4 linked regions of the Medicago truncatula genome follow. The main gene of each other region encodes a partner of the protein of the gene in region 4 in a complex. Links are inferred from orthologs where the notes say so. Each region holds a gene or a part of one and is shown on either strand. Other genes may lie near its edges.

Region 1 (7,472 bases), on a different chromosome or scaffold from region 4:
CGGAGAAGATGGTTCACAATAAAGATGCAAAAAATGGATTCTTGCATGTTAGTCTGACCGCCACCGAAAGTCTGAAACCATCAGGTGGTGGTAGATGCAAGGTAACTATCGAGGAAGGAATATGGTTCCGTCTCATACCTTCAAATTCAAAGTTGTGATAATTGGGTCGTGGACGAAAATAGTAGCACCGTTATTCATTATGTGACGGAGGGCATCGAAATAGAAAGGTTGACGTCGAAAGGTTTGGAGCCGACAACAAGGTGAATGGATGGGTCTTAAGAAGGTCGAACAACCCACCACCACTATTCAACCCACTAGATTCAAGCTTGGTAGTGGAAAGGAAGGGAACACCGGTGAAGACAAAGTCTACTTTCAGGCATCCCTTTCAAACCAAAAGGTGTACTCTCTAAGGGATCCCTTTCAAACCAAAAACGTGTGCTCTCAGGCATGCATAGACTGTAAGATTTCCTTTCATTCTTCACTTCTATATTCTTCCATCAGTTATGGAAACGAATCTAGTACGTGTGATATGTTTTTGTCATAAAAATTAAACACATAGTTTAGATTTATATTCAACTTCTCTATGCATCAATGATCCATCTTAACATGTCTACTGTACAAGTCTCTTGGAAAAACATTGAACTTTATTGAACTTACCCTCCCTTTTGGAAGCATGCCACGAACAGCATGTTCAATAATTCTTTCAGGAATTCTGTTCTGCAGCTGGTCAAATGTCTCGACTGTCATACCACCAGGTCGACCTGAGTGCCGCCGATAAAGCTTCTGGGTCCTCTTTTTCCCACTGACAGCAACCTTTTCTGCATTTATCTACACAACCCCAGTTAAAATAATAGGCCAAGACTACATAAAGCAATCGTGAAACAGAACATTATTGACAATACTCCTTGCATAAAACTTCATGAGAAGGGTGAGCCTCATAAACATAGTCATTAATGTGAAAAGCAAGTTTTATAAACAATACAACCATTTTATAGGAGATTTTGTTTCCTCTATTGATATTGTAGTTTTATTTTTGTGGAAAATTGGAATCTGTCGTCAAATCATTAGTCATACATGCCTATAATTAAAATTTAAAACCAAATGCATGATAAATAAACTTCCTTACAATCTATAGAATGTAGAAAGCGGAGAAGTCATTAACAATAGATATACATAACAAAAAGAACATGTCTTGCAGCTTCCCATTATGATCGAAAAAACATGACAAACATTCAGACATAACAAGATTAATAGCAGCTTCATCAAGACTTTTCAGGACATGCATTAAAGCAATACATTAACTACAGACTATGTTGCGTGAGAATCAATATACAAAAATGTGAAATGTGATCCAAATTTCTTTGTCAATGTGACATTATTATAGCAAAGGGTTAAATGTGTGTTAGCAAACCACTCGTTAAGAGTACAGTATTTAGGAAGAGGAAGAGCGGTAAGTAGATATTAGAATTACAAGGACTCTTCAATAACAGTAACTCTCCAAAAGGATAATAGAGGAGTAGCTATAAAAACAGGGAAGGGAGTTAACAACTGTAGAACAGAAGGTATATTACAAGGAAAAAGACTGAAATAATTAGAGAAATAAGGCTTTTTTTTTCCAACTGTAGTTATAAATAAGAAGACGGGTCAAGTGGCTGAGATATCCTGACATTTGAAATTTTGAATAAGTGCTGAGGCCTTTGGGTATAAGGAGACGCATTCCCTTGATGTATGTTTTACAGTGCTCGAACTTCCCAAATAGGGCTTATCTCCATCTTTTTTCCAAATAAAATACCAGTTTTTATCAGAATGATGATAACAATTTGAAGGGAAATGACACTGAGCCTCTACGCCATTTCATGGTGACTTAACACAAAAAGTTAAGGCTAAAATGCAAGAAACTCCATTAACCTATGATTCAACTTGACTCCTTCTACTTAGAAAACAGTCCATCATATATTGCATAAGTTCCATCCATTTTAAAACCAAAAGAAAATTAACAAGAAAGATGTTCAACTAAAACTTGACTTATATAACAAATAAGCTTATTCCGTAGAAGTAGTAAACCATAAAAATCAGCACTTCCATGCCAATTGCAAATAATGAATGCAGAAATACGTACCACAATTACAAATGAACCCATGTCCACACTGGGTGTATAAGTCACTAAATTTTTCCCTCGGATGTGATTAGCAATTGTTGATGCTAGTCTTCCAAGAATTTTATCTGTAGCATCAACAATATACCACGTTTTCTCTGTATTGACATGATCCGAAGCTTTTGGATACCAGGTTGTGTTCCAAATGTCCTGCAATCATTACTCTTTTCAGTTAAGCCGCTTCAAATACATTAATTCGAAAAAAGCATCTACCAAGTTAAAAGCTTTAAAAATAATACAAGACATGGATACCGACGTAAAGATTTAAAGCAATTCCAACTTTCAATCATGCCAAAAAATTGGATGAAGTAATAACCTATACATTTCCAAGCTAATTAAACTAATGAGATACGAAATGTAGGCATAATTGAAGTAAATTAAGATGGATTTACATGTTAATTTACTTCAATTACGAGAAATGAATACTGCTAAAGTGCTAATTACAAACCAGAAAGAAGATAATAAGGCTTAATTACCATAAAATGATGGATTGAGACAAACACTAAAATTTGACAATAAAAATTGAGGCTTTTCTATTCCATATGCTAGATTACAGAGACCCAGAAATTAATACAAGAAAATTTTAACAAAATCATACACAACAACACTTAGTGTGTAAAATGAACAAAACCCATTAACAAAAAAGAGAGAGAGAGAAGTTATACCGGGCCTTGAAAGCGGGGCTCAGGTTCAACACAGATGAAACGAGGATCTTCTTCTTCTGCGACAATGGAAGTTTCCTGCTGAGAATGGACAATGAAAGATGGAGAACGAATTGAAGAAGATGATAATGAAAGGTTTGAAAGTGGTAATTGAGAAGAAAGAAAGGAAGATTTAGAAGTTGAATTCTTGTGATGAGAGAATGAAGAAGATGAAGGGAACGTCACTGATGGTGAACCACACAGCAAGGACATTGTTGCTGTTGATGAATGATGATAAATTCTCTCACGATGCTTTGTGTTGTGTTCTGTGCTCTATCTTTACTGGGGATAATGTAGAGCCAGCCAGAGAGTGTGCGATAGATAAGCCTATATTATAAATGTATCAAAATTTTAAAATAGTGTATAATTGTACGATTTGTTAGTCAAATAAGTCTCTTACGTTAAAATAGTCTATCAAATATGACATTAATTCTTTTTATGTATGGATTGATATGATAGTATATAAATATTTGTAAAATTAATATAACGATAAGTAAGGGTGTGTTTGGCTCTATTTTTTTGAGGTCTAAAAGCTACTTTAATAATAAAGTTGAAAATTAAAACTTTTAAGTTAAAGTTAAATTTGTTTGGCATTTGTTATTTGTCCAACTTAATTAGTAAAACTTTTTAGGGTTGTTTAATAGAGACCTCTCAAAAATAGTCTTAAGATGGACATTTACAATTCATAGTTGTTTTAAAAAAATTATAGTAAAGCATAAATTTTATAATACTAAAAAACTGAAAATATTAGACAAACTTTTTTTTTAGGCTTAATTAGATTTTTGGTCTCTTAAGTAATTATCAATTTTCATTTTGATCCCATAATTCGTAAAATCAACATTTCGGTTTTATTGCTTTTCTTGCTTTTGTTCAGTTTTTCTTATTTTTCTTGCTTTTCTTCAGTTTTTCTTGTTTTTCTTCAGTTTTTCTAGCTTTTCTTGTTGTTTAATCTTTGCTTGTGAACTCAAAAATATCATAAAAAAGACTCTAAAAATAGTGAATGGCCGACTGTCATCAGTTTCTATGTGGTTTTCTTCTTTACAAATTGTGTTTGGCCCTACTTCTCCTTAAAATTGGAAGATAAGTAGAAAATAAGGAGGGACAAATATGACAATATTAATTAGATACTAGTGTATTTATCTGCATTCCCAAGTTAGACATATAGTTAAGGATTACCAAACTTTGGTATGCATGATATTGATGATTCAATAAATTATCGTTTTTAATATATTATTTGAGTCTATTTTATTTAAATTTTATTTGTTTTTATTTTCTTTTTTAGAACTATTTTACTTCAATTGCAAGTTATTTAATTTCATGAACGAATATTCTAAAGATTGAGTCTTAGAGCAAAAGAAAGAAGATTCGGAGCTGATTCGGACTAAAAATATGAAGATTTGGTGCAAAAATAAAAAGCCCCCAATTCAGAAGCTTAGCACGGCCCGTGTCACCAGCCACACAGTCGTGCCAGCACCCAGAGTCACCTTTTGCTTCTTTTGGCTTCCCGGACAAGCTGCCTATTAGTTTATTTTTGACCTAAAGCTTGTCATTTCTTGTGCAACACTTTAGTGATTTATTTCTTAGGGCTTAAGTCATTGTTAGACTATAAATAGAGCAGACATCAAGCTTGTATAATCATCTTTAGTTCTTGGAAATAATAAGTGACAATTGTTTCTTTAAATAAAAATTCATCTTTATTTTCTTTATTTTATTTTATGGTCTTCTTCTTCTTCTTCTCTATGTCGACAATGAACGTGAGTGAGTAGACTTCTTGTCTTGGGATTGTTGGATGAATCTAATGACCTAATCCTAATCAAACTAAGCATTGAACCCTAATTTTATGTAAAACTACTTTCTAATCTAATTTCACCATTTTTATAATGAATTAACAAGTATCAAACTCATAATGCGACAACGAAGGGTTGGTACTTGTTAATTCATCATCACAAATATCAAAGCGAAACATCGTAATAAGAAGTTATGATATTGTAACAAGTGAAATTAGACAAGGATTGTGAAACATGAGAATGGTCTAGCAAACCTTGAGACAAAAAAGTTTTCTTCTTCAAGGATTCCAATAGCAATCAATCATGAGAATAGACGTGGTTGCAAGAGGAACACACTTACTGAAATCGAGAGGAGATGTGATAGGCTAAAGAGAAACTTGTCTTTAGAAAGTAGGTCCAACATAAAATTCTAGGTTTAGCGTTTGATTTGTGAAGGATTTTTCGCCATGACGAACCAATAATCCCGAGGCACTTTTTATTAATATTATTTTCAACCGTTAAAAATCCAAACTTTTTAATCTCAAACTTTCTTCTAATCATTGTTAAAAGTTAATTGAATTCATAACTCCCTATCAGAACGATACTCTTTTTACTACTTCAGTAAAACGGTGCACTTGCGGATTTTACACATCAAATATCCGCAAGTAAAATTCATCACGGACAGGTGATGACAGATCATCTTACGTTATAATTAGCATGTTTTTCAGTCTATTTTAATAGGTTTTACCAGCAAACCAGAGGAGTATTAAAACAATTGTCTATGATTTCGGGACATTTGTAATATTTTTTATATTTGAGTCTGTAATTTGATTCTTCCTAAAACATAGCAATTTTATAGGGTTCTTGAAGTAATTCACGAAGAAATCAAGCAAACCAGGCAAATCAAGACCTCTAAAGATTATTGGGTCTTGAGAAGATGAAGAATGAAGATTCAATAGGCCTCAAAAGATTTTGCAACGGGAGGAATTATGTACCCAATGTCCAAGATGTAACACCCCAATTTTTCTATATATTATATTATCATATATCCATGTGTTTTTATATATAGTTTCATCTTGTAATTACTAGTTATTATCTATTTATTTATTTTGATTGTTTTTGTGTGGATGCGCTAATAATTATCATGACATTTAGTAATACGAATTGTATACATAGTGATATCCTAATTATTTAGCAATATTATGATGATTTTTCCTATGTGTATTTGTTATGATGTGATAGTCATACATATTTATTTTGTTTATGGAGTAATATAAAATGTTGATATTTTATTATTTTAAGCATTTTGAAAGGTCATAGTAATTTAGTATGAGTGTTTTAGAGATCAAGATTTTAGTTATAGGAGAGTGGAACAAGTTATTGATATTTTTAGAATCGGAATTGATAGATAGATTAATTTAAAACTGACTACTTTATACACCTCCCTTTATTTGCTGCATTCTGATACTTGATTGGGCTAATCTGTCTTCCTTCTTTGGGACCATTCACAGCCCAGTATGTGAAAACACATTAATTTCACTTAACTGGATTTCTATCCACACACCAATTTCAGTCTGAATGTCTATTTGCACCCCTTGCTATTAAATGAAGAAATAAAAATAGAACGGGTCTTCTCTTCCAAATGGTTGCAGAATGGAAACTCTTTTACAAACCCTTGCCCCCTCTCTCTTTCCTCGATTTCTCTTTCCTCAAGCCACAATACTCTTTTACAAAACTTTGGCTTCCAACTTGAAATCATCCACTGATTCGAGGCTCGCTGCGACGGTTGTAGCCTTTGAGAGATGAATAAATTAATGTGCAAATATGGAAGTAAGGTTAAAAGAGGAATTAGAAATTTTATTAAGGTGTTGCTTGACTTACTTTATGTCGGAATGTGTACTCATTGATGTTATTGTTGAATAGGTATTGTTGAGTAGGTATTGTGATCATAATTGGCTAATTGCTATTTTTTTTTATTGCGAAATTCTTGTTCTTGAATAGACATGAGTTGTACGTATCTAGTGATGTATATATGATGTGATGCATGTGTTTTGTGATGAGTAAAAAATTTGTATATGAGAATATGTGATGAAGATTGATGTGGTTAATTTAAATCTGTATATGAGAAAATGTGATGAAGATTAATGTGGTTAATTTAAGAGGAATGAATACCCTTGTCAGATTCGGATTGTTGTGGATAATTTGAGCTTATAGAATGTTCTTGATTTCCCTTATCAGATTCAGATTGATGTGATTAACTTGAGATGAATGAATATTTTGATTACCCTTATCGATTACCCTTAAACCATGAATTAGTATTGATTTTGTGTTGTGTTTGCTCTTATGTGTATCATAGGCCAACGAGGGGAGATTATATGTAAGGGGTAAGCGAGTGTTTCACTCATGAGTGTAATATATTGTGAAATGAATGATAATATTGTAATTCTCAACTATTCATATAGTGCTTACCACATATAGTTTAGCCATTTGAGATATAATTGATTAAGATCACATCAATATGATCCAGAACCTGAAGGCTGCCATGAATTAAATGCTGTTAAGATTGTTTAATATTTGATCCTTGTGAAACTATGATTTAAAGGTTAATTATGGTGTGGTAGATGTGTGAGTGCACATTTGTATTAACTAGTATGAAATTATGTTTATTAAAAGTACTACGTGTTAAATCTCTTAAGGCGTTACTGATAGAATTTGACTAGTTATTATGATTATATATGTTTGAACTATTGAGACTTGATTGAGAATGACTGAATATGGATTTTTATCGAATAGTGTGAAGTATGCACTGTGAATTGTGATTATTAAATGAATATGGATTGAATGGTAAGG
Region 2 (7,077 bases), on a different chromosome or scaffold from region 4:
TGTGGAAAGGTGCATAAGTTTTCATTTTTATTTCTAACAAATCTGGTCCATTCGATAAATTCAACTGTAATTTTTTCATGGTCCACCGGTGAGAGACTTAATTGATCCCTCATCCTTGGGTAATGTTTAAACAAAATTCCTGTAAAGTTTAAGCAATTTTTGCTTAATTTAAAAAACAAAAATATATTAAAATGAGTACAAAATATCTTTATCTCATGGAGCCGAACAAATCTTGAATTCATTTTTTGGGTTTTCAATCTAATTAGAATTATGTAATAGCATACTATACTAATTGTATAAATAGAATTCATTTTTTTGTTTTGAGATTCTTAAAAATACTCCAAAGTCTAAGTGAAATTTATCGATTTGTTTTGATTTATATTATAAGTTGGATTCTATTTGTTTGTTTTTGTTGCAAATTCCAATTTAGGTATTAAATTTCCTGTTTTCTTAATAGTTATTTCATAGACGTAGTTAGGTAAAATTTAACTAAAAATTCATGTGATTCAGTAAAATAAAAAGATAAAAAAATTCCATTATTTTTAAATCTATTCATTTGATTCAATGAAGAGTGATAGCACATCGTGGGATATTTTCTATAAAATAAAAAATCTGAACAAAGTTGAAAGCTTTAGACAAATACCTTGTTCATTTTATCCAACCATTATATACTAGAACTAACTGAGGTTTTAGTACAAAATAGACTTCTTTAGGACATCTTCAAGTTTAGTGGCAACAATTACTACCATGACCTCATCAAATAGCAATCATGATTGCCATTTAAGGCATTCTATAGAAGTTATCATGACTATGGTATTATGAGTAAAGCTGGTATTATTTGTTGAAACTTGAAAGCTAAGACAAAGCTGGTTTTTATATGATATATAATTTAAAACAAGGTGTAACTCTAACAATTTGACAATAAATGAAACATACACGAACTAATAATAATAAATCGAATTACTGGAATAAAATTTGTTGCCTAAAACACACACTAATGTAAAAAAAGTTGAACAAAACTTCTGTTGGTGAAAGATCAATTGCAACAAACAAGTGCATAAATAAATATCTGCACCAAAACATAATCAACTAAATAACGTACGGTCATTTTAATTTAACAAAAATCACATAAGAGATATTGTTATACATGCAAAACTGATTTTGTTGGTCATTCCATCAAGTCTCTTGCATATTTTTTGCAGCATACTGGAACAAAGATTTTGCCTAAAATAATACAAGTTTTAAATATAAAGGAGTACATAAAACCATTGTTATGAAAATAAGAAGAAAGAAAAACCTTGAAATGCGGCCAAGTTTAAGGAGCTAAATACACAAATATAATACTTTTAGGCTCTTGTGTGACTATTTGCCACTATTTGGGTGGCTCTTGGTGCAAAGGACTTTTCGTCCCTTGGCACGTCGTCGCTTTAATACAGCTCTTCCAGTTGTTGTGCTCATTCGTTTGCGGAATCCATGAGTGCGTGCCAATGATTTTCGTGATCTACTTCTCTTGGTTAAACAAAGAGCTTGTCTGCCTGCTGCTACTATAACCAGACGACCATTTTGTCTTCTAGGTCCAACATTAGGTTTCAAATCCAATCCTAGTGACAAACCTGGACATGGAGAAATCAAAACAAGCTAAATCCAAACAAATTTTTTAACTATATACATGCAGATTGAACAAATTCACCAAACAATTGAAAGCAAAGCATCCATTATTGCAAAAGAACTACAACCTCTTTTGTATTCTCTATTTTTCACATACAATTTCCAACAAAGCACTGACACGGACCCGTTGACACCGATCATAATTTGAGAAAATAAAAAATTTGGCTGTAACATGTGTCGCTGTTGTGCCATTCACCAAACACACTTTGATATTTACATGGAACCCTTGACGGTTAAAATTCAATCTAACGAGGTATTTCTATCTTGAGGTATTGCTCAAGTTTCAAATCTTTACAAAGGATGTCTTTGAAGTATTTCCATCTGACACAGGTAAACAGCAGAGTATCTTTTCTCTAATAACGACTTGCCAAATTCCTAACTTTAAGTCATGCTGAGATCAAGATGAGCATGGAATTGCAACAAACATCATTCTAATAAAAACCAGACAACAAAAAAATAAATGTCCTATGATAATGTATCAAACAACTCCTCCAAAGCCAGAGCAATGTTAACATTAGTAATATGAATATCAATAAGTAGTATTAGAAAACCACAATCCTTAGAGAGAGTAGAGCGACAATTTTCATCACCCCAATTAAAATCATTTTTCTACTCATTCAACATCTTAAAAAATGAATTGAGACATACCAGTACTACATTCAAAACTAGTTCTATTCAATTCGGATTCAAAAATTAGTTGCGGTGAAGCACGAAGCAAGGGCATTAAATTACTAGATTACATTTAAAATTCTAGAGGTGTCTTTTATTGCATTTCATCCAAAAAGAATGTAACAATATGGCTAGCATTTACAAGACATCTTATCCACTTACAACACAACCCCATTTTCCATTACAAATGCAGAAGCATAAACTTCAGAGATAAAATTTCATTTCAAACCCAAAAATTAAACTTCCATTCCAAACAGTCACCATAGTCAAGTTCAATCAAACCCAACAATAAAACATTTTTTTTTGGAAGAATTACCAATTGCATACCCAATAACAAAAAAATTGAACAATGTTTGAGGCATGAATTGAAAAATTAACAGTACAGGTATGTTTATTACAAAAGAAATTAAGAAATTAAGTTTGTACCTGAAATGGAAGAAGAGTTGAAAGAGAGAGAAGTAGGAGAAGAAGTGAATGAGCAATGAAGCAATGGAGAACGAAATTTGGAGGAATTGAGAGAGATTGAAGATGGTTTTGAAGAAGCAGTGAAAGTGGGTGCTCTGAATTTCATGGATATCAAAGGAGACACAGAAGATGATAACGAAGCCATTATCCTCTTTTTTTGTGAGTTTTGCTACGTGTTTTCGGCTTTTAAACCAGTGAGTACTGTTGAAAGTGTTTCAAGAATAATTATATTTTAATACGATTATTTTACAGATGGGGATGTAGCTCAAATGGTAGAGCGCTCGCTTTGCATGCGAGAGGTACAGGGTTCGATCCCCTGCATCTCCAGTTTTTTTTTTTTTTTTTTTTCATTCATATTCTTTATGCTATACCCCTTTGCAAGGCTTGCATCTCATCATCTTTTTCGTTTCTTATTATTTATTTTTTTTATTTTGTTTTTTGGAAGAACTTTTCTACCTTTTTCCTTCTTTTTTCATTTTTTTAACTTAATATTAATTACCTTAATTTGTCAAAATGAAAAAATATCGGAGATTTTTGTTGGATAGCAACACCAGATGTAAAATTAACTCAAAAATTAAATTTGCTTCAAACAAACTAAAATTAAATAAAATATGACAATAAATGATTGAATAATATGTACTTACTAAGACAAAATTTGAAGGTATTGGTGTGTTGTTATATCTTTCTGTAGGTTCTCCTTCTCCAATTAGCCCGTAATTTTCTTTGTTTTTCTATGTTTTTCTCTTTCATTTTCTTTATTTGAAAGGTGGTTTGAGTTAATTTTTAATATGAAATCACATCTTTTCATTTTCTTTTCTCTTTATTTTTTAAAATAAGTGATTTTTTAAATTGATCTAATTTTTTCGTAGTCTGAGTGCTACGTTGTGTTGTTCGCCGTCTTGCAATATTATTTAATTTTTTTGTCATGAAACAATATTCATTTGTTTCCTATTGAAATATTAACTTCAATCACAAGTTCAATTAATTATTTAGTCGTCAACTTTCTGATCTATAGTCATGGTATTTTGATCACTGTGATATTTGGTTATATGTCCCCCTATATATAGTCAACAGGAAATTAGAACCCTATCACAAACCAATCCCTTTTGTTTCATGTCTCCTTCGAGTAGTTGAAACCATCAACAAGGATTTATTGTGATTATTTGTATCTCTAAGTTTCCAATCTCAATTGAAAATAGAAACGAAAAAATAAAAAGGAATGACCAATCTATCTAGAATAAACCGACCCCTTTTGTCTCTAATCTAATTAAACTCAGTCCACTTTACACATTTGTGTCTAATAACATGTCACCACTAAATCAAAAGGCAGCTATTAATTGAATAATGTTATTCGTCACAGCTAAATTGTGGACAAAGAAAAAAAAAAAGGGGGATGATAGAAACCAAATATATACTCCCTCCGTCTCTATATATAAGACCCTTTTGCTAAAATCATGGGAATTAAGATACTGGATATTTGTATTAAAGTTGTTTGTAATCACTATTGTTTTTACAATTTTATCTTTAAGAAAGAAGGTTAGTTTATGTTTTCAACATGTTATTTATTGTTGATTGAAGAAAAAAATGTATAATAAATAGAGGCATGTATGTAAAGAAATAATTAATGTAGTTGGAAATAACAAAGGGGCCTTATAAAAAGGGACAAAAAAATTCTCAAAAGGGTCTTTTAATTAGGGACGGAGGGAGTATATATTTTTTTGGAAATTGTGCATTTAATACTTTAAAAGTTTTAAAAGTTATATTTTCAATATTAAGTTTCATTTAATTGAAGCTCTATCCCTTAATTATAATTAAGAAGTTTTATAGAAAAAAAAAGTTGCAAAAACATTTGATATGTTTGAGTGGTGAATTCAAATTTACAATAAAGCCACACCTAGAGTACGAGTTTGAGTTTTTTTTTTTTTTTTTTTTTTTTTTTTGCGGTGTCCAGGGTTCGAACCTTGCATATATTATAAATTGTTTTTACGACTGAGTTAAGCTCACGAGGACTGTGTAAGTTTTTTTTTTTTTATCAACTAGTGTAGTGACCCTTACATATTTTAAATGCGGAGAAGTGGGGGTATGCGGGATTTGAACGCTGACCCTTACATATTTATGCAATGTGCTTATTAACTAAGTTAAACTCACAGAACAGTGTCGGTGAGTTTTACCGCTACATTATATAAAACACAAAAATATTAAAATACTAATTTTTAATCATATTTGATAGAAAGAAGAAAAAAAAACACACATATATACAACACCGAAATGTTGATGATTGATTAGGTTTTTTGGTTAATGAAGTGTTGAGATTCATTTGCAATGTTGACAATTGTTTCGTGTTGCAATGTTGCTTGTTCTTTGAACTTGGGATGAGTCTGATTTGTTTGTGTGTGTAAGATTATTTTTTTAGATGTGATTTTGAGATTGAGGATTAAGAATTGAAATTTTGGGATGAAGATTGGGTTATGATATTTATGTGCAGAAAAAATTATCTTTCTTTTTCTAATTTAGAAAATCAATTTATTTTTATTAAAAGGATTTTTAAATGTTTTTTAATTTCTAAATCAATTTTATGATTTATTAAAATGATAATTACCACCTGGATGACACGTGGTCAACTTTACATAGTCAGCATCTGCCAAATAAGTAGCAATGGGCAAAATCGGCAAGAAAATGGGCCTAGATACTATTTTAAAAAACAAAAAAATTTGCTGGAACGTTTTTTATTTTTTTGTAGATACCAAAACTCAAACAAGTCATATTTAAAGAGACGAATAACACACTTTAGCCTTAAATAATTTATAGCCAAGATGTTGAGCATCTGTTAAAAATAGTGATAAGTAAAAGAATGAAATTATGTTGAGGTTGTGTTATGAATAGTGATAGTTAAAGAGAATAAAATTATGTTAGTACTTTAGGATACTAGTTACTTTGATAGTTGGTTAAGTTCCAAATATGCACCAAATATCATTTTCCTAAATAAAATCATTGTTTTTCTTTTGAGCATCTTTTCAACATAATTTCTTTTGAGAATTCTCATTTTCAAGCTCTCAAGCTTTGAAAGTCAATTTCCTTCATAGTTCTGAGGATTTAACATGATGGTTCCATTGACAGTGGGAGAAATTATAGTTGAGAAGAAAAGCCTAAGTGAGATTTTTGTGTGTTCAAAACATCAAATGAATCACATGAACAACAACAATACAAGCCAACAAAAAAAAAACAAGTCAGAAAGGTAACAACAAAATTTTATTTCAATACAAACTTATTAAAAAAAACAAAAGGTTAATATCATGAAATATACTTCCTTTGTCTCTTTATTTTACAAAATGTAGAAACGACACTTCCTGTTGAAGATGATGTTCCCAGTGCCTAACATTAGTGTCTCGCCATAGAGTTAGCCCTAAGAAGCCTTGGAGAACTGTTGGGTCTTGCACCGATGCCAAAGAAGGATTCAAGATTATTTTCATTCTTCTATTGGTCCAAACTTACAGTAGCTGCAGCCTGCAACCCTCTTTGGCCTCGTCAACATCTCTTTTTGCAACACGCTCGACCTTGATTCGTACTTCAGATTCAGCCCTTATGGTTTTAGCTCTTTCACGTGCTTCCCTCTCCTTTGGTGGGTGCTATTTTACCTTTATCTATTATGAAAATATTATCTTACTAGACGAAATCTAACTTTGAATTTGGTATTGTGTTCCTAATCATGCTCAATTTATAACGGAAACTTCTTTTTCTCTTCTTTGAATAGATTGCATTGTGTATGGCATGGGCTCCCTTTTTACTTCAATCTGACCCTCATTGCTAAGACTCTCACATTCATTCGTTGGGCTTTAATTACCTGACAGCATTATTTGCCTTGAATATTGTGAATGTATCGAGATCTTGTGTCTGAATATGAAATACTTGATACTTGAACTTTCCCAGTATTCTTAGGCAACTTTTACTAGATTAATATGTAACTTTGCTGGATTAGGACGTCTAGCTTTCACTCTTTATGACACTTTTGATCTCCCATTAGATGCTTACTGACTTGCAAACTTTTCTACGTATGGTTGGGGATTGGGGTGATTATTCCTTCACGGTCCTGCCTTAGGGTATTTCTCGTCATCTTAATTGTTAAACTTGAACCTCAAATTCAATCCATTTAATGGCTGGGAGTGGTTCCATAACTAAGCCTCGTGCATTTATTTTCCAACATGTTAAACCCATGTTTCATGATATGCCAGGCATGTTGTTATTAACTAGAGAGTGATTAATGCTTTCTTGCATAAA
Region 3 (8,249 bases), on a different chromosome or scaffold from region 4:
TCCTTTAGCCTTTCAAACACAAACAGATACATAATAGTAGTACTTGTAAATAACCTGATTCACAAACATCTATGTTTTGTACACCAAAAAATATTAATATGAAATATTTTAAAACAAATTTTTAATGAATTTAAAATTCTTATAAAACAAAATAAAAAATGAATACCTAATTTGAAGGCAGTGAATTGCAATTTTGATAACCATGTCTCTATTCTTACGGTTACAGAATACACGACATAAAAAACCTTATGACAGGAAGAACCATAGGTTACTACAAATAATATATTAATACAACGAGATGACGACATCCACCAAAATATTAAAAACAATGACTAACAACAATTTTAACAATGTAACTCTATAACTTGCATATTTAATACATCAGCTCATGCAGCCTTTTCAGCTTCAGCGGCTTCTGCAGCTGCTTCCTCCTCGCGTAGCTTCACTAAAGATGGAGGTGGTTTTACAACAATGCTTTTCTTCCATTTTTTATCAAGCTTTCTGGACAACCTCTTACCAATACCCTCCTCAATCTCTCTTTCCCGCTTTACAGTAAGCAAGCGAGCAATCTACATCAATAATAACAGTAATTATTCATCCAAAAGAAGGATACCGCTTGTTGGCAAAGCTTTTATAGGATCATCTGAAGTTATTATTATTAGGGTAATATTAAAAGGCTTAATAGCAGTTTTCGCCCCCTAACTTTCACAAATTTACGATTTTGGCCCCCTAAGAAAAAAAACTACAAAACCGCCCCCTAACTTAGGGTGCCACGTCAGCGTAGACCGAGTCAAAATTGGCCTTGGGGGCCAAAACTGCCACAGATGCAAAACTTAGGGGGCGGTTTTGTAGTTTTTTTTCTTAGGGGGCTGAAACTGCTATTAAGCCAATATTAAAACCAAAAAATAAAGGAAAATGTTAAGTTTAAATAGTAAGTTTATGAAAAGTTGTGTATTCAATGCATTGGAAATTGTAATGGTTGACTTTTTTAAAAGAATAATTACTAAATTTGGGATCCTTAAAGAGTGCCCCGGGGAATATTGTTCTCTCCCCTTTTTCTATGGTGTGCATATCTTGCCTTTACCATGGAATCTAAACATTCTAAATCCTAGCTAATGCACTGCTTCTTTGCCTACTGAATCCTTAGTGCCCATTCTCCTCGATTCAATTTTTCTTGGTGGGACATGAACTCTGATAAAATGATGATGGGCCCGTCATGAGCCTCCCACGTTGCCGAAAGTGGAAAAGGAGCGCGGATAGTAAAGCAAACTGAAATAGGACTGTGAACTTCGTCTGTCACTACTGAAGGAGATTAATCTATTATGCTGGATCCTAACAAACAGAGCATGTGGCAATAGGAGAGGGCAATGGGAGATGCAGGAACCAATGGAGACGAACATTAATGTGGGAAGGATAGATGTGTGGAGGAATAGCAAATAACTTGAGCATTTGAGGGGTGATTAATAACAAAGGGCAGAGATGCTTTTCTAAGATATTTTTTTCAGTTTCGGTATATCCTTACACTTGTCTCCTGATATCTGGGTTAGAGTTTTCTTTTGGATTTTTCGATGATCTCGAAAGTCAAATCTACTTCTACCAATTTAAATTTCAGTTCTGATACAGAATATAAGTTGCATGAGTGGAAAAGGTTAATAACGTATATGAAAATAAAAAGGGCCACAGCAATTGAATTTTATTGTGGAGTGAAAATAGACATGATAAAATAAGGTTTTTTTGAGTAAATCGTGATTTTGATTGTTAAAAAAGCAATGTAATGAAGAGGACTGAAACAAAGAATAAAGGCAGAGATATTAATCTGCTGCAGCTTAATTGAATCAAAATTATAATACAACTGAGTGTAAGAATAGGCTGCAACTTGCAAAGACATTCGTTATGTGAGCATAGTCACGTTACATCATGTCCAAACAACTAAAGTAAAAGATATTGTAGGCTAGTTTATGAAGAAAGGTTAAGTATGCTAGACTGCAGTGCATCATGTCCAAAACTTGACCTTTACACTTTTCTTTCTTCTTTGGCAGTTTTATTGTCCTCTGTTTAGGGGTTCTTTGGTTTCCGGTTTTCAGTTCAGTTATTTCCGTTTACATCGGATTAGATTATACTAGATATGAATACCCCAAGCTATGTTAGCTATTAGCACTTGTTAACAAATGGTACTAAGTGGGCTCTCTCTCCTCAAAGATCTAAACTCTATCCGGCGATGGATTTAATCTGTGTGAATCTAAGAAACAAGAGTCCACAAGCCATCATATTGGTTGATTGAAATTGAACAGAAACAAGGAGAATGACTTCTCCTCCAAGCCATCTTACAACGGCCACCACACCACTCCACTTTTTCAGGTATGGTATTTTCGGGACTCTCCATATTTCAGGTACGGTGTTTTCGGGACCAATTGCTCTGTGCCGCAATACATGAGTGACAACTATGATAATTACACGAGCTACGTTGCTCGAACTACAACGAAGTTAACGAAGTTGAAGCCCTTGGCCTTTCCTTTCAATGTTTGTTTCATTGTTGCACGAGATAAAAATCCTGATGCCTTCAAATTTTACCCTAAGTTTGGTATAATGGGCACCAAAAATAATGCAAATGGGATGTAGACATAGGCTTCTTTCCTTTCCTTTCACTCCATTTCCATTCTAACGGAGCAATATTTCATTGTCCCCTTAACAATTTTGATTATTGTGTGTAATATGTAAGTCATAGGCTTGATAATTTCACTATTCCCCACCTTAGTGACTAGTGAGTCTTTGGCTTTGTGTATTTGGTTATTGACGCCCTAAACATAAATCTCTTGCACTGATCCAGGCAATAAGAAGCTAGTTGTTTCTCTAACATAACCATAAAACAATGACAATTCCAACACATTGATAATATTCAATTGAAGTTAAAATGACAAATTTCAATAGATTTTTCCTACTGGCACCCCGTTTATTCCTAATTTCAAAAACTCCCATTTACCTAACACTATTAATGTATTTAGATTGGCTTATAATCAAAAGCAACTCTATCCTAAAAATTTAATTAAGCAAATGTGAACAAAGTATATTAAAATTTCTATAAAATTGAATAAATAATCTAAAGAGTAAGAAAATATACCGTCTTACGCATGCTACGAAAATCACTGGACTTAAACTCATTACGAGCAGATTTCTGAAGACGAAGCATGAACAACTCTCCCTTAAGTTCAACAACCTCTTCATTGATTTGTTCGGTGGTTTTAGTTCTAATTTGCTTCAATTCTTCTTCTCTCTTTGCCATCATCACAACTGAGACCGAAGCGGTGCGTTTCGTCGCTGGGATTGTGCACGTGTTTGGTTGACGTAGACGAATGCCATTGAAGGAGGATTTGAAATGTAATGGTTTTGGAAGAAAAGAAAGTGTTGAAGAAGAAGATGGTGAAGCAACGGAGAGGTTCAACATTGTGTTTCCGCGCTCGTATGTTTTATCTGATGAACAGCAACTGTGTGCAGTATGTGTTGTAGTTGCAGATAAGATCCACACCCTATCTTACTTCATCCTTTATGAGCACAACTCCTCTTTTATTTTATTTTATTTTTTATTCATTTTTTCTTTCTTTATAAATTAGATTCAGAGAATTGGTTTGTATAAAAAAAAAGTTTTTTTAGATACTGGATTGAAAACATTTTTTTTTTTTAATGTTTGGTTAACAGAAATATTGGATTGAAAACATTTACGAATTCAAAGTATTTATGTATAACCAAAGTTACTTAAATAATAATATGTTATAGACGTTTTTTTAGATATAACAACGCTTTTTATAGATATCCAACATTCACTTTCTTTTTTAGAGGAATATACGTAGATTTAATCTTATGGAATGAGTTATATGAATTGTTGGAATCCACATGTATTTCACTAAAAAAAATATAGCGAGTATTAGAAATTTAAGTCAGGTTGATGGTGTTTAATGACCTTTGAGTATGGTACTTCCTCAATTGTTGGTTTCTTCTCCGTCACTCTCGGCCTTCTTTTTCGGGGAACGAAAGCAGTGTATATTTTTTTTTAAAGAAGTTAAACTAGCCCACTCAAATTGACAATGAAGAGAATCAAACATGAGACATTGCGGAGAAACACACTCCAAGAACCCAAACCAACACCACCAGAGCAACTTAAGTGGACTTCGTTGATGTTTCACATACCTGCACTTCATTGATGTTTCACTATTAGAATTTGATTACATCAAATGAGAGTCTTACAAATCATCCTAAGTGAAACAAATGAACATCAGAAAGTTCATTTCCAGCACATACTTTCAATCTGACGGACAAGTACAATTGGTAAAAAGTAAAAGCAAAAACAAAAAGCAAACTCAAGTGCGACTCAATGAGAATTAGACATGCATGGGGTTTGGTACTGCACAAGGATCAGAAAATCCCCTAAAGCATGGGCATGAAGTGACAATTCCACTTTCCTCTCTCCTGCACAAGTTCTAAGGCAGATTTGCAAAGGCTTTTGTTCAACATTATTTTGAATTATGTATGAAGAACGATACTCATGGAAAATCCCTTAAATTCATCTGACATTCATAGGATGAACCCAAAAACACATATGACATTCATCCTTATGAACTTAGGAACAATATCCTGATGAACACAACAATATTCCGAAGAACACAACAACGTTTTTAAGTATTATGATGAACCCAAAAATATTTTGAAGTTCATAATGTTGATCAAGACTTCAAGCAATAGTTGCTAAGTCCGAGGATATGTGGCACAAGACCATTGCACACGCCCTAACAACTACAAGAGGTCAAGAAACTCTGTAAAAAGATAAGAAGACTCTGCATTGAAGCACACAACTTTCAAACATACTTAAACAACTTAATCAAAGTGTTTAAAGTTATCCATAAGTCCTAGCTCAACTGGCAAAATGACGAAATTGTTAGGTCGGATGCCATGACCGGGGTTCGAACCCCGATACCTCCACTTGTGTGTGTGAGTTTATAATGGCTTTGTCATTTCGTCTATCTACAAAAAAAAAAAGTGTTTAAAGCTTCATAGCAAAATTGATTTCACAAATCAACTATAAAGATTCCTAAAATCTCAGAGAGTATGAATCAATCTTATCTTATCTTCTTAAAGATGATATTATTCCTCTCTTCTTCTTCCTATTGTTCAACTCCATTCAAACTTCCAAATCATTTGTAAGAGAAAAATCTCATCTAGCTCTAAGAGTATTAAAGTGTAGGCTGAGTATAAAGTTGTAAAGTCTTGCATGACTTAGCAAAGAAAGTCGTAAGCATGATGAGGCTTAGAGAATACATGTTGTAATTGTTCCAAGGGAACAAGGTTGTACGATGCAGGAGTTAAAAAGTTATCTCAAGCATCATAGTGAAAATCTCAGAAGATTGTGAGGAGTGAATTAGCCCCCATTAGATGAACCAATGTAAATTATGCGTGTCTTTCTTCTCTTTCCTATACCATTTACTTACGGTAAACACAACACACACACACACACAATCATTTACATTTAATATATTGTTTTTACAGTAACACTTTAGAACTTTCTGAAGTCTCTTTTTAACTTAACATTTTCAAGTTTCAACTTAAGAATTACTTTTTAAGTACATGATTTAATTTAAAAAAAAAAGGTCTTACTTCAAGGTGTATTTTGTGAATAGCGAACATACGATCACAAGTTTAAAATCCAATATTTATAATAGAAGATTAATGTTTAAGCCTTTGTACCTCTGCCTGGTCAGCTGTTTTGGAAGGACGACCATGATCCTTTTAGGGACAATTGTTGTCATTTGAGGGCACTCTTTAGAAGTTAGGTCTAACATAAAGTTCTAGGTTTAAGGTTTTGGTTTGTGAAGGATTCGTTATTATGATGAACCAATAATCCCAAGACTTTTTTTTATTTTTATTCTTTCCTTTTAATTAAAAATTCAAACTTTAATCTCAAACTCTCATCTAATCATTATTTAAAGTTAATTGAATTCATAACTCTATGTCGGAACGATACTTTATTTTTACTACTTCGATAGAACTGTGCACTTGCGGTTTTATCCCATTAGTTGTTTGCCTCGGTACCCGTTCTTATGTGCCACTGACCCATCTGGTTGTTTTCCTGCTTCTCATTCTTCCTTGTTATGGGCTGCTTTGGCTATCATTCTCGTGGGTCATTTGCTCTCATGCCACGACCATGCGGTCTCGTTTTGGGAGGATCACTTTGGGACTTAACAATGAATGAGTTTCAATCAATGCTGAAACAGCTCCCCAAACTATTATGTGAGGAACTCAAGTTATGGCTTGTACATGAAGCTGAATGGAAAATCCCTTTGTAGTTGGAATTCGTTCGCGTGTTTTTTTTTTGTTTCTCCGGACATCTGGTTCGTTAAATGTTTTTAAAACAATATCCATTTTAAGTTATTTCTAAGACAATGTTTTTTTTTGTTTCATTTAATTTTATTTTCAAGGTCTTCCTAACCACTGTCTCATGAATATTTATAAAGAAATTCATTAATAGAATTTTTTTTTCAAATATAAGTTGTCCTATTTGTTCAAGTAATAGTTATGTCATTTTTTTTAATAAAAATTTATCTTTATTTAAATTGCTTAACTAATATCCTTGAGAAACACTCTCGACATCCTCTTTATTTTTGAGCTATGTTATTTGTACATTTAAAATTGGACAACCATTAACTTTGCAAGGAGTAGAGCTGTCAAAACGGGCGAGCCCGTTTAGCCCGAATAAATATAGGGCTTCGGCCTAAAATATTGAGCCCGAATTTTAATAGGGCTTTTTAGCCCGGCCCTTAAAAGCCCGGTACCCGTTAGGGCTAGCCCGAATGGGCCGGGGGTAGCCCGTTAGCCCGCATAACAAAAAAAAATTCTATAAATTATATATATATTTCAAATAATTATTTACTTAGTTGATTATCAAAGTATAAAACAAAAGTGAAAATTCAATGAATTAACACAAATATAAATGTAATATAAAATTATATTTATTCATTTCGTTATTTATAGTTTTAAAGATCGAATATATAAATATCTATAACCATAACATATCTAATTTATTTAAAATCATTTTTCTCGTCGTTTTAGTTTACGATGTTTGTACGAAAATGTTTACAATTTACTTTTGTGCTAGACATTATTTAAACATATTAAAAATATTATTTATAAAAAAATTATAGTAGTGTTTTATAATATTTTTTAAAATAAAAAAAATATAATTTTTAATACGGGCCGGCCCGTGTAGGGCCGGGCTCGGGTAGTATATTTCAAGCCCGTTTTATCAATCGGGCTTTTTGGCCCGGTCCGCTAAAGCCCGAAGCCCGCTAGGGTTGGCCCGTTTAGGGCCGGGCCGCCCGTTTTGACAGCTCTAGCAAGGAGTATAGAAATCGAAATCAGATAAAATATTATTAAACATAGCAAATAAATTGTTGGTTGTACAATTTAGTTGTTCAAATATCATTTCTATTTATTTTTAAATCTCTTTTAATTTAATTTTAAAGTATCTTCGTTAGTTTGTGACCCAACATATGTTGAATCATACACAGAGACATCATAGAGGTGTTTAAGTGCTGTAATAAATTATGTTAATGAAAGTTGGTAGTTAGTTGAATTTTTTTTTTAAGGAATTAGTTAGTTGAAATTTTGACGTTAATGTATTAGTCTAGCGTTGGTCTATGTGGACTTTTGTGCTAGTCGAGGTTAGGCATGTTAGGAATTAACAAGAATTTTAATGGAAAATTGAAGATGTGAGTTATTTTTAAACAATTTTTATTTGAAAAAAAATCAATTATTTTGAGACAGTGTGTGAGTGTCAATTTTACAATTTAAGTGCATGTTTCCAACTGTTTTGAATGAAAATATCCATTAATTATGATGGCAAAGCCACAGCCCACAAGGGAGTAACAAATGTCATTTTTTCACAATCTTCTTTGATTTAGACCGATTGCTACGAACCTCTCTCGTTTTCTATCTAAAGCTTCCATTAATTTTTTGGCCTCATCAATTGTTTGGTTTAATCGGAGAACTCAACTTGAGCCACTCCTTTTCACATCCACTCAAAATACGTTTCAAAAGTCTCATGTCGCACTTGCTACCACTAAATAAATGGGGCAGAATATCGAACTATAATTTTGTCCCATTAATTTTGTTTTTGACAAATTGTCCCTTTTAAAATTTAAAAACGTACATCAAAATTATTTTCAAACCACTCTTATCTTTTACAAGGTGTAATTAAGACCATA
Region 4 (7,742 bases):
AAACATACCAGGACAGAACATAGTTACAAGGATAGAGCTATCAAGGGAGCAACTATTAGGTAGGTTGGGAAGAGAGAGTGTCATCATTCACGGGATTAGCTCTTAGGATTGCTGGGGTCATCTTCTCTAATTGTTCATGTTTATGGAATCAACAATATTGTTTTCTGTTTCTATTGAATCTGGTTCCTGTCAAATTCAATGGAACCTACCAATACAATTAGTTACTTCCATTTCTTTCTCCTTCTGAAAAACTTCAAAATAACTACTTGTAGAAAAGGCTAGGAAAATAACACGTGCAGCAAGAATTCCAATAAGAAGAATTCGCTAGAATCCCAAGCATTAAATACTTGGCATTCCAGAGACAGCATTTTGTTTCAATCAATATCAAATCTGGAAAACATAGGTAGCCAAAGTGGTATCTATAATCCTAATCAAATACAAATTCTAATGAGATGCTTTTATTTTAGTATAAGAAAGCTCATACCAAAATAGATTTTTAGCCTCTCTTGAGTTATATAGTATGGCAATAGTGTATGTGTCATGTATTTTAAAGTTACTTTAATGTACGTTAGTATACAAGTGTAGCTCCATTGGAGTTGTTTCTATGTTTGATTAACCATTTTTTAAGCTGCGATTCTCTTTGCTCACACCTCAATGGTCAATAGGCCGATGATGTTCATCGTCTAAATTTTTTAACACAATTCTTTTAGTCTTCCGGATCACAAATTAAAATTGAGAGTTGATATTTGGACTTTACTGCAAGCCTATGTAATGGTACTCGGTTGATAATTACAAATTTGGGTAGATATATTCTTGAAAGAAAGGTAATATCAGGAAGCAACATTGGGGAGAAAGTCTATATGCCTAGAATGTTAAAAATTGTACGGTGATTGCATAAATACGGCTACTAATGTAGTTGCATAAGTAGTTGATAAATTGCATTTTAATATTATTTTTTCCAATGTATATGACCCGTGCGGCAACACGGGTGGAAGTCTAGTAAAAGATAGAGTCAACATCTAAACTTCCCTCAATAACAATTATCATAAAAACCCATAAATTATCATAATTTAAAATAACTTAACAAGGTCATCCATTCTGCATCACTTCTTCCAGTGTTAAGTATACAACTGTTGTCAAAATACTAACTACAACATATATCTTGAATGTTTTCATTGTCACGACTCGAAAAGGCAACACCAATGAATGAATCAAATGTTATAAATTTACAACTATCGTTATGCTATGATTATTGGCAAGGATTTTGATTCTCTGCAGTCAGAGAAATCCTGCATTCATGCTCTCAAGTTAAAATTAGCCGTTTGAGCCTAAGTCGGATTGAACTTTTTCAATGTTTTCACTCTGAACCCAAACCACAGCGTAGTGACTGAAAACCCACTATTCATCTCCGACATGTACTCAAACGATTTGTTTGACTGCCTGACTGATATTTTTTACAGCAGAGAATGTGAATCCTCATTGGCAACATCTATTTTTCTACATCATGAAACAATTAAAAAAGTTAAGTAAAATGAAGTACCTGAAAAGCCCGTGCATTTGATTCGCCCTTCTAGTTTCAACTGCCTTACTGACCTTTAAAACCCCTTCTTCTTGCCTCTCAACCTTAACTTCTCGAGGATAAGTTAATGAAAGTTCTCCCAAAGGACCTTTCGCATGGAAATATTGCCCTTCCATTTTGATGGTTACATTGGATGGAACGGGAATTGGTTGTTTCCCAATACGTGATTCCTTACATTCGGTAGTCTTTCTAAAGAACCCAACATGAGTAGCAGGAGCACTTGAAATTCTGATCCTACTTCTCTCGCCAACAAAAGATGACTTAAAATTGCTGAAATAGGAAAGCAAATGATTAGTGAGAGACTGCTTGAATTTATAAAATATTTACTTTGAAACTAACAATTTTTCAAGTAACTAAGAAATTATAAAAGAATGATTAAGAAAACCAAAATTCATGAGTGACTAAAACAGATACAGGGCCTGGTAAACTAGATCTTATCCTTCAATTAGAAGCCACTTTCCAGTTCGTAGTGATTTAGGTCAACATTAAAAAATGCAATTTTGATAAATGATGTTCAATATCCTACTATAACATAATAAAAGCCTCACATGAAGATCTTTGTGCAAAGGAAACCAATAAAGCAAACAAAACAACAATTTCCCAAAACAATTGTTCTTTTCTTTGATATAGCATGTTTGGTATCACATTGAACTTAACGAAATCACAGCCGCAACATGATTTTGTTGAAGTTCCAAAATGTAGCTTTTGCCAAAATCACGACAATAATTTTATCCAGAATTACCTGTTTTACTACTAAGAAAGCCATGAAACACAGACTCAGACACGGACATCGATAATAATTTAAGAAAATGAAATAATTCAACGTAATAATGTGTCGGTGTCGTGTTGGTGTCGGACACAATACGTATCCAACACCGGGACACGTCTAATCCGATTAGTATTTGTGCTTCATAGCAAGAAAGTACACTCGATGAAATTATCTTTTCTGTAAGCTAACAATCACCTCACTAACTATGTGAAAAACAAATACAAAGTAATTTATTCCTGAAATACAAAATTATACTACTAACAAGCATTTCATCAAACATCTTAAATGCAACATCCATTTAATTGAATTTCGTCAAACATTTACAACACTATCATCCTCAACTACATCATCATGATTCATTACAACCAAATTTAACATACACGACAAATAATTATAACCCTTTTGACCCAATTGAGAATTGAAGAAAGAATACAGAAAAATAAAACCACATTCACAAATTGAAACAGTTATAAAGTTAAAAAATATTGGGTTTTCTCAAAGTTTAAAACTTTAAGTGTTTTAAGAAAAAGGGTACTTTTTATTTCATTGCATTCAATAATTAAACACCATATAACAATTATTGAACAAAAACTTGAAATGAAACTTATTTATATGATTAAAATGGTTCAAATTGAAGAGAATGAAGAATGAGATTTGAACAAGTAGAGTAAAGAAGAGAAAGAGAAAGAGAAATAGTGAAATTAAGGGTGTTTGTTTGAACCTTAGTTGAAACGAAGAGGTAACTGAAGAAGCCATTGTTACAAGCCACAAGGCTTTGCTTTTTGCGAATGTTTGCAAAAATGTTCCTTATCCTGTTATCTACTTCGGTTATACTGTGTGTGTGTGTGTGTATGATGGTGGTAAAACGGTAACTACTGTTTGTTGGATTTTTATTGGTTGGTTACACTGTCGGATTTTGATACTTCTGTATTTTTTTATGAGTTATGATTCATAGACATAGGTTGCAATACATCCCTCGACATCCACACAAAAATCTGACATGTGGTCACATGGACCCCGCACAAGCACATTTTCTCTTTCCTCTTCTCTCTTCCTAGAATATAAGGTGTATAAAGGTATTTTCTCTTTCCTCTCCTCTTCTCTCTTCCTAGAATATAAGGTGTACAAAGGTGTATGGAAATAAAGGGTGTCTATGTAACATTTTCCTTTTTTTATTTTGGGTGAAAACAAAACTTTGAACCGAACTGAACCAAAAAAAACCTAATCGTTAATAACAATCAAAAACTGAAATGATTTGGTTCAGTTAGTGTGATTCGGTTCGGTTTAATGGATCAGATCAATTTAACTATTTGGATCGATTATGGTTTTTTAAAAGTTTTAATATTCGATTATTTTTTTTTCAATTGTATTAATGATTCTCAAAATAAATTTGGTTTAATTTGGAAGTTAAAAAAAATATTGTTTTTTTATTTTTTTAAATAAAAAATATTTTAAAAAATAAATAAAAAATAAAAATTACATACGGTGGCGTCCACGTCAGCATTGACTTGGATAAAATTGGACTGGGATCAAAACTGCAAAAGGGACAGTACTTGGAGAGTTAGATTATATTTTATTTTGTTAAGGGGCCAAAACAGAAAGATCAAAGGAAAATCTTCCGGTTAGAGACTCAAGTCTTGAATCCCGGGAAAAAATCCCCGCAAATGAAGTACGTCGCCTATAAAACTATGGCAGTTTAAATCTACTTGGATAAGTTGGCAATTCGCTAAGAGAAAAAGAGGTTTCGTCTGACACTCTAAAAACCTCACTTTGCTAATCTAGCAGAATCCTATCGGAAGAAAAATGTGATAGAACCGTTTATATTCAAATAACAACATCTTTGTATTATGTTTTGACACTAACAAGACTAATAATAAAGGAACACTTTGTCATATACCTATGTCTATGATCATGCATGATATTATAAGAGAAATTAAAGACGTGCAACTATCTTTAAGGTAATGACAAATGGTCATCAAGCACAAGACAAGTTGATTAAGATTTTAAGAAATCAAGCAACTATTTTGGTTAACATATTATTACCAAAACTCATTATATGTGCAGAGCACTCCAAGACATCGATGGGTCCTAATGATCATCTGCATGGTCCACTTCGTTCATGCATACATCATTAATTGATCAATTATTGAAGATCATGTGGCCATATTTTATTTGACTCGGAAGCTATTAAGATCTTCAAAGTACAAAGAAATGATTCTTTCAGAGCTTTTCACAGAGATATCATGTCAAGGACAAAGAGATACAATAGATACTTGGACTTTAGAATATGTATCCATATAACATATATATCTCTTGTCTTATAAATTGAAAATAATCATGTTGAAAGATGTTCTTGTTGTTGTTATCGAAGTTGCTATTGCAATCATCGTTTGTGTGTTAAAGCACCATATCCTTCAATGTTAACTTGATGGCAAGAAATCACAAAGCGTTTTTAGTCTATTCTTGGAGTCATTTTAGTTAAATTAGGTAGTTTGAATGAATTTAGTCAATTTTGGTAAAGGATTCGATAAAATGTCATGAAATCATAACAACAGAAAAATAACCTTGAAACCATGAAACTCCACTCGAACTAGGGCTGGAAATGAGTCGAGTCGAACCGAATCTGTTTGAGCTCGGCTCGACTCGATAAGAATTGGTTCGGCTCAAAACTCGGTTCGAGTTCGACACGAACTATTTTTTCAGCTCGAGTTCGGCTCGTTTAAAGTTCACGAACAGTTCGGTTCGGCTCATTAGGTTCAGTTCGGTTGCTCAACTAGTCCAAAAAAAATTATAAAAAAAAAAAATTAATTTATAGATCTTTGATATTTTATATATATATATATATATATATATATATATATATATATATATATATAAAATATTGAATTCAAATAAAAGTTCCCACAAACATGCATATAATAGACATAAATTATATAAAGTTAAAGATTGCATAAATACGAAGAAAAATATCTGATACAAGTAACAGAGACAAAAAAATCCAACAAAATTTAATTAGTTGTGAACAAAATTCATAATATTCTTTTACTTTTAAACTCCAACTGCTCTTCCCTTCAAGACAAAATTGTATTCAGCCACATTTGCCACATTTGAATTAAAAAATTTTAAAAACTAACTCAAATTGATTTATATATATAATCAATAATCGAGCCATCTCATGAACCTAACGAGTCGAATTATATGTAGCTCAAGTTCAGCTCATTTAATTAACGAACTTAATTTTCAGCTCAAGTCCAGCTCGTTAGGTTCATGAACCAAGTTCAAAGGATTAGATATCGAGTCGAATGTCGAACTATAATCGAGTTGGTTCGGTTCATTGCCAGCCCTAACTCGAACTAGACAACTCTCAGATTTATAAAGCTATAGCTCCGTGCTTTTTTCAAACAAATTGTTTTTATTCAAAATCTTTGAAAACAAGACTTGATTACTTTTGTTTTTAATGTTATAGTTCCCTGAAACCAAGAGGTTATTGGAATGGAACAAGTTTGTTTGATATGATTTTGTCCCTATGCATCGAGAGATTAAGGGATCAAGATAAACTACTTTGCATGAGTACTAGAACTTGGAAAAGGCTTTAAACGTCAAGATCTAACTAGGACTCTTGTCATAAGCCAAAGGCTCAGTAGAATAATACTTTAGTGGAAAATGTTGATGACCTAACCTAGCAACGATGCATGTTAAGATTATGTGATTATAATATGATCGGTAGTCTTCAGGGACTTAACATGATGGTTGAGTTTACTACACCCCTAGTAGCCACTAGGTTGCCAGAAATTCGTAGAAATCTGTAGCTCTATAGATCTATGTAAAGCTTGTAACACTCATATTTCTATTAAAGCAATTAAACATGAGAATAATACAATTACAAGAAATAGAGGCTACGTCATCATTCAAAAATTCAAAACCAATAAACATGTATATAAATCTCAACAATCGCAACGGAATATAAACCAGAGTACATCAAATATACGTGTCATGAATCAATTATTACATCAACATGGATGAATCTCAAATCCCAACATACGGGTAAATCTCCAATCATATCAATAATCCAAAACAAAAGACCTAGACTAAGACAAGTCTATATTGTAACACCCCGTTTTCCCAATATACAAATTTCATAAACATTTATCAGAGTAAAAACCACAAACGGGATATCACATAGAAACGTAATCCAAAAACAGTTAAATAATAATTTAACCTTCACAATATCTTTAACATAGCAGCGGAATATTAAATTCAAAAATCATAAATCAGTTTGGCACGTAGGCCCCATCAAAATAGTTCATATTCCATAACTTAATAAAAATAACATATTATCCACGTAAGAGAATGAACCATGTTATAGCATATAACCCCATCCCGTTACGTATCAGAGCGACCTAGACGACACAGTGAAGGCAAGGCCACTCACGACGGCAACTGCACACTAAGCACGATCACCTGCAAGTTACCCATACGAAGGGCAACATTTTCAAGCAGAAGGGGTGAGATTTCATAATACAATAACATTAATCAATGTAATTGAGAATCATAAATTAACATCATATTCATTCTATTTCTAACTTTGCATAATTGCTAAACAGTTATCACTTAATCATATATCCAATCATTAGGAATAACATAACATAATCAATAAACACATATCACGTAATCACATAATCAATCATCATCAACAAGGCATCTTAATCATGACAATGTGACAATGCTCTTAGACTTCTTATATGCATGTGGTACCAATCGTCATCATATCATCAAAACATATCAAAATCATGCATATATTATATAATTATAATATAATTGCCTAAACTCGATTAAATAACGATTAAACGAAAGTGGGCGTTACAACTCTCCCCCACTTAAAAGATTTTCGTCCTCGAAAATTTACCTCAAGTAAACAACTCTGGATACGACTCCAGCATCTTACTCTCAAGCTCCCACGTCAAGCTTTCACCAGTCGCTCCCGACCAAACGACTCTCACGAGAGGTATCTCTTTGCCCCTCAACGTCTTCACTTTACGATCATCAATCCTTAACGGTAAAGTTTCTACCGTAAGGTTGTCTCTAACTTGCACATCGTCACTCTGAATTACATGAGATGGATCCGGAACATACTTCCGAAGTTGCGACACATGGAAAACATTGTGCAAATTCGAAAGATGCGGCGGTAAACCCACTCGGTAAGCCACCGTTCCAACTCTTTCCAAAATCTGATACGGACCAATGAACTTCGGGGTCAACTTCTTTGACTTCAAAGCACGTCCTACACCAGTCATAGGAGTGACTCTCAAAAACACGTGGTCTCCTTCTTGGAACTCAAGATCTTTTCTACGCTTATCATGATAACTCTTTTGTCGACTCTGCGACGCTTTCATC

The links.
Region 1: 50S ribosomal protein L6, chloroplastic (region 4) and 50S ribosomal protein L13, chloroplastic share a complex: the UniProt entries of both Arabidopsis thaliana proteins name them as parts of the 50S ribosomal subunit. The link is inferred for Medicago truncatula from reciprocal best matches to the Arabidopsis thaliana genes emb2394 and emb1473.
Region 2: 50S ribosomal protein L6, chloroplastic (region 4) and 50S ribosomal protein L34, chloroplastic share a complex: the UniProt entries of both Arabidopsis thaliana proteins name them as parts of the 50S ribosomal subunit. The link is inferred for Medicago truncatula from reciprocal best matches to the Arabidopsis thaliana genes emb2394 and AT1G29070.
Region 3: 50S ribosomal protein L6, chloroplastic (region 4) and 50S ribosomal protein L29, chloroplastic share a complex: the UniProt entries of both Arabidopsis thaliana proteins name them as parts of the 50S ribosomal subunit. The link is inferred for Medicago truncatula from reciprocal best matches to the Arabidopsis thaliana genes emb2394 and AT5G65220.

What each region holds. Positions count from the first base shown.
Region 1 is NC_053049.1:23,131,466-23,138,937, reverse strand, and holds the start of 50S ribosomal protein L13, chloroplastic, read right to left. Parts: upstream 3,181-7,472; 5' UTR 3,070-3,180; coding exon 2,821-3,069; intron 2,306-2,820; coding exon 2,120-2,305; intron 829-2,119; coding exon 658-828; intron 1-657.
Region 2 is NC_053043.1:4,728,119-4,735,195, reverse strand, and holds 50S ribosomal protein L34, chloroplastic, read right to left. Parts: upstream 2,986-7,077; 5' UTR 2,948-2,985; coding exon 2,764-2,947; intron 1,614-2,763; coding exon 1,363-1,613; 3' UTR 1,083-1,362; downstream 1-1,082. UniProt on the Arabidopsis thaliana protein: This protein binds directly to 23S ribosomal RNA.
Region 3 is NC_053049.1:41,913,566-41,921,814, forward strand, and holds 50S ribosomal protein L29, chloroplastic, read right to left. Parts: upstream 3,540-8,249; 5' UTR 3,443-3,539; coding exon 3,119-3,442; intron 570-3,118; coding exon 387-569; 3' UTR 153-386; downstream 1-152.
Region 4 is NC_053047.1:21,810,408-21,818,149, reverse strand, and holds the start of 50S ribosomal protein L6, chloroplastic, read right to left. Parts: upstream 3,235-7,742; 5' UTR 3,105-3,234; coding exon 3,070-3,104; intron 1,850-3,069; coding exon 1,541-1,849; intron 1-1,540. UniProt on the Arabidopsis thaliana protein: This protein binds directly to 23S ribosomal RNA and is located at the aminoacyl-tRNA binding site of the peptidyltransferase center.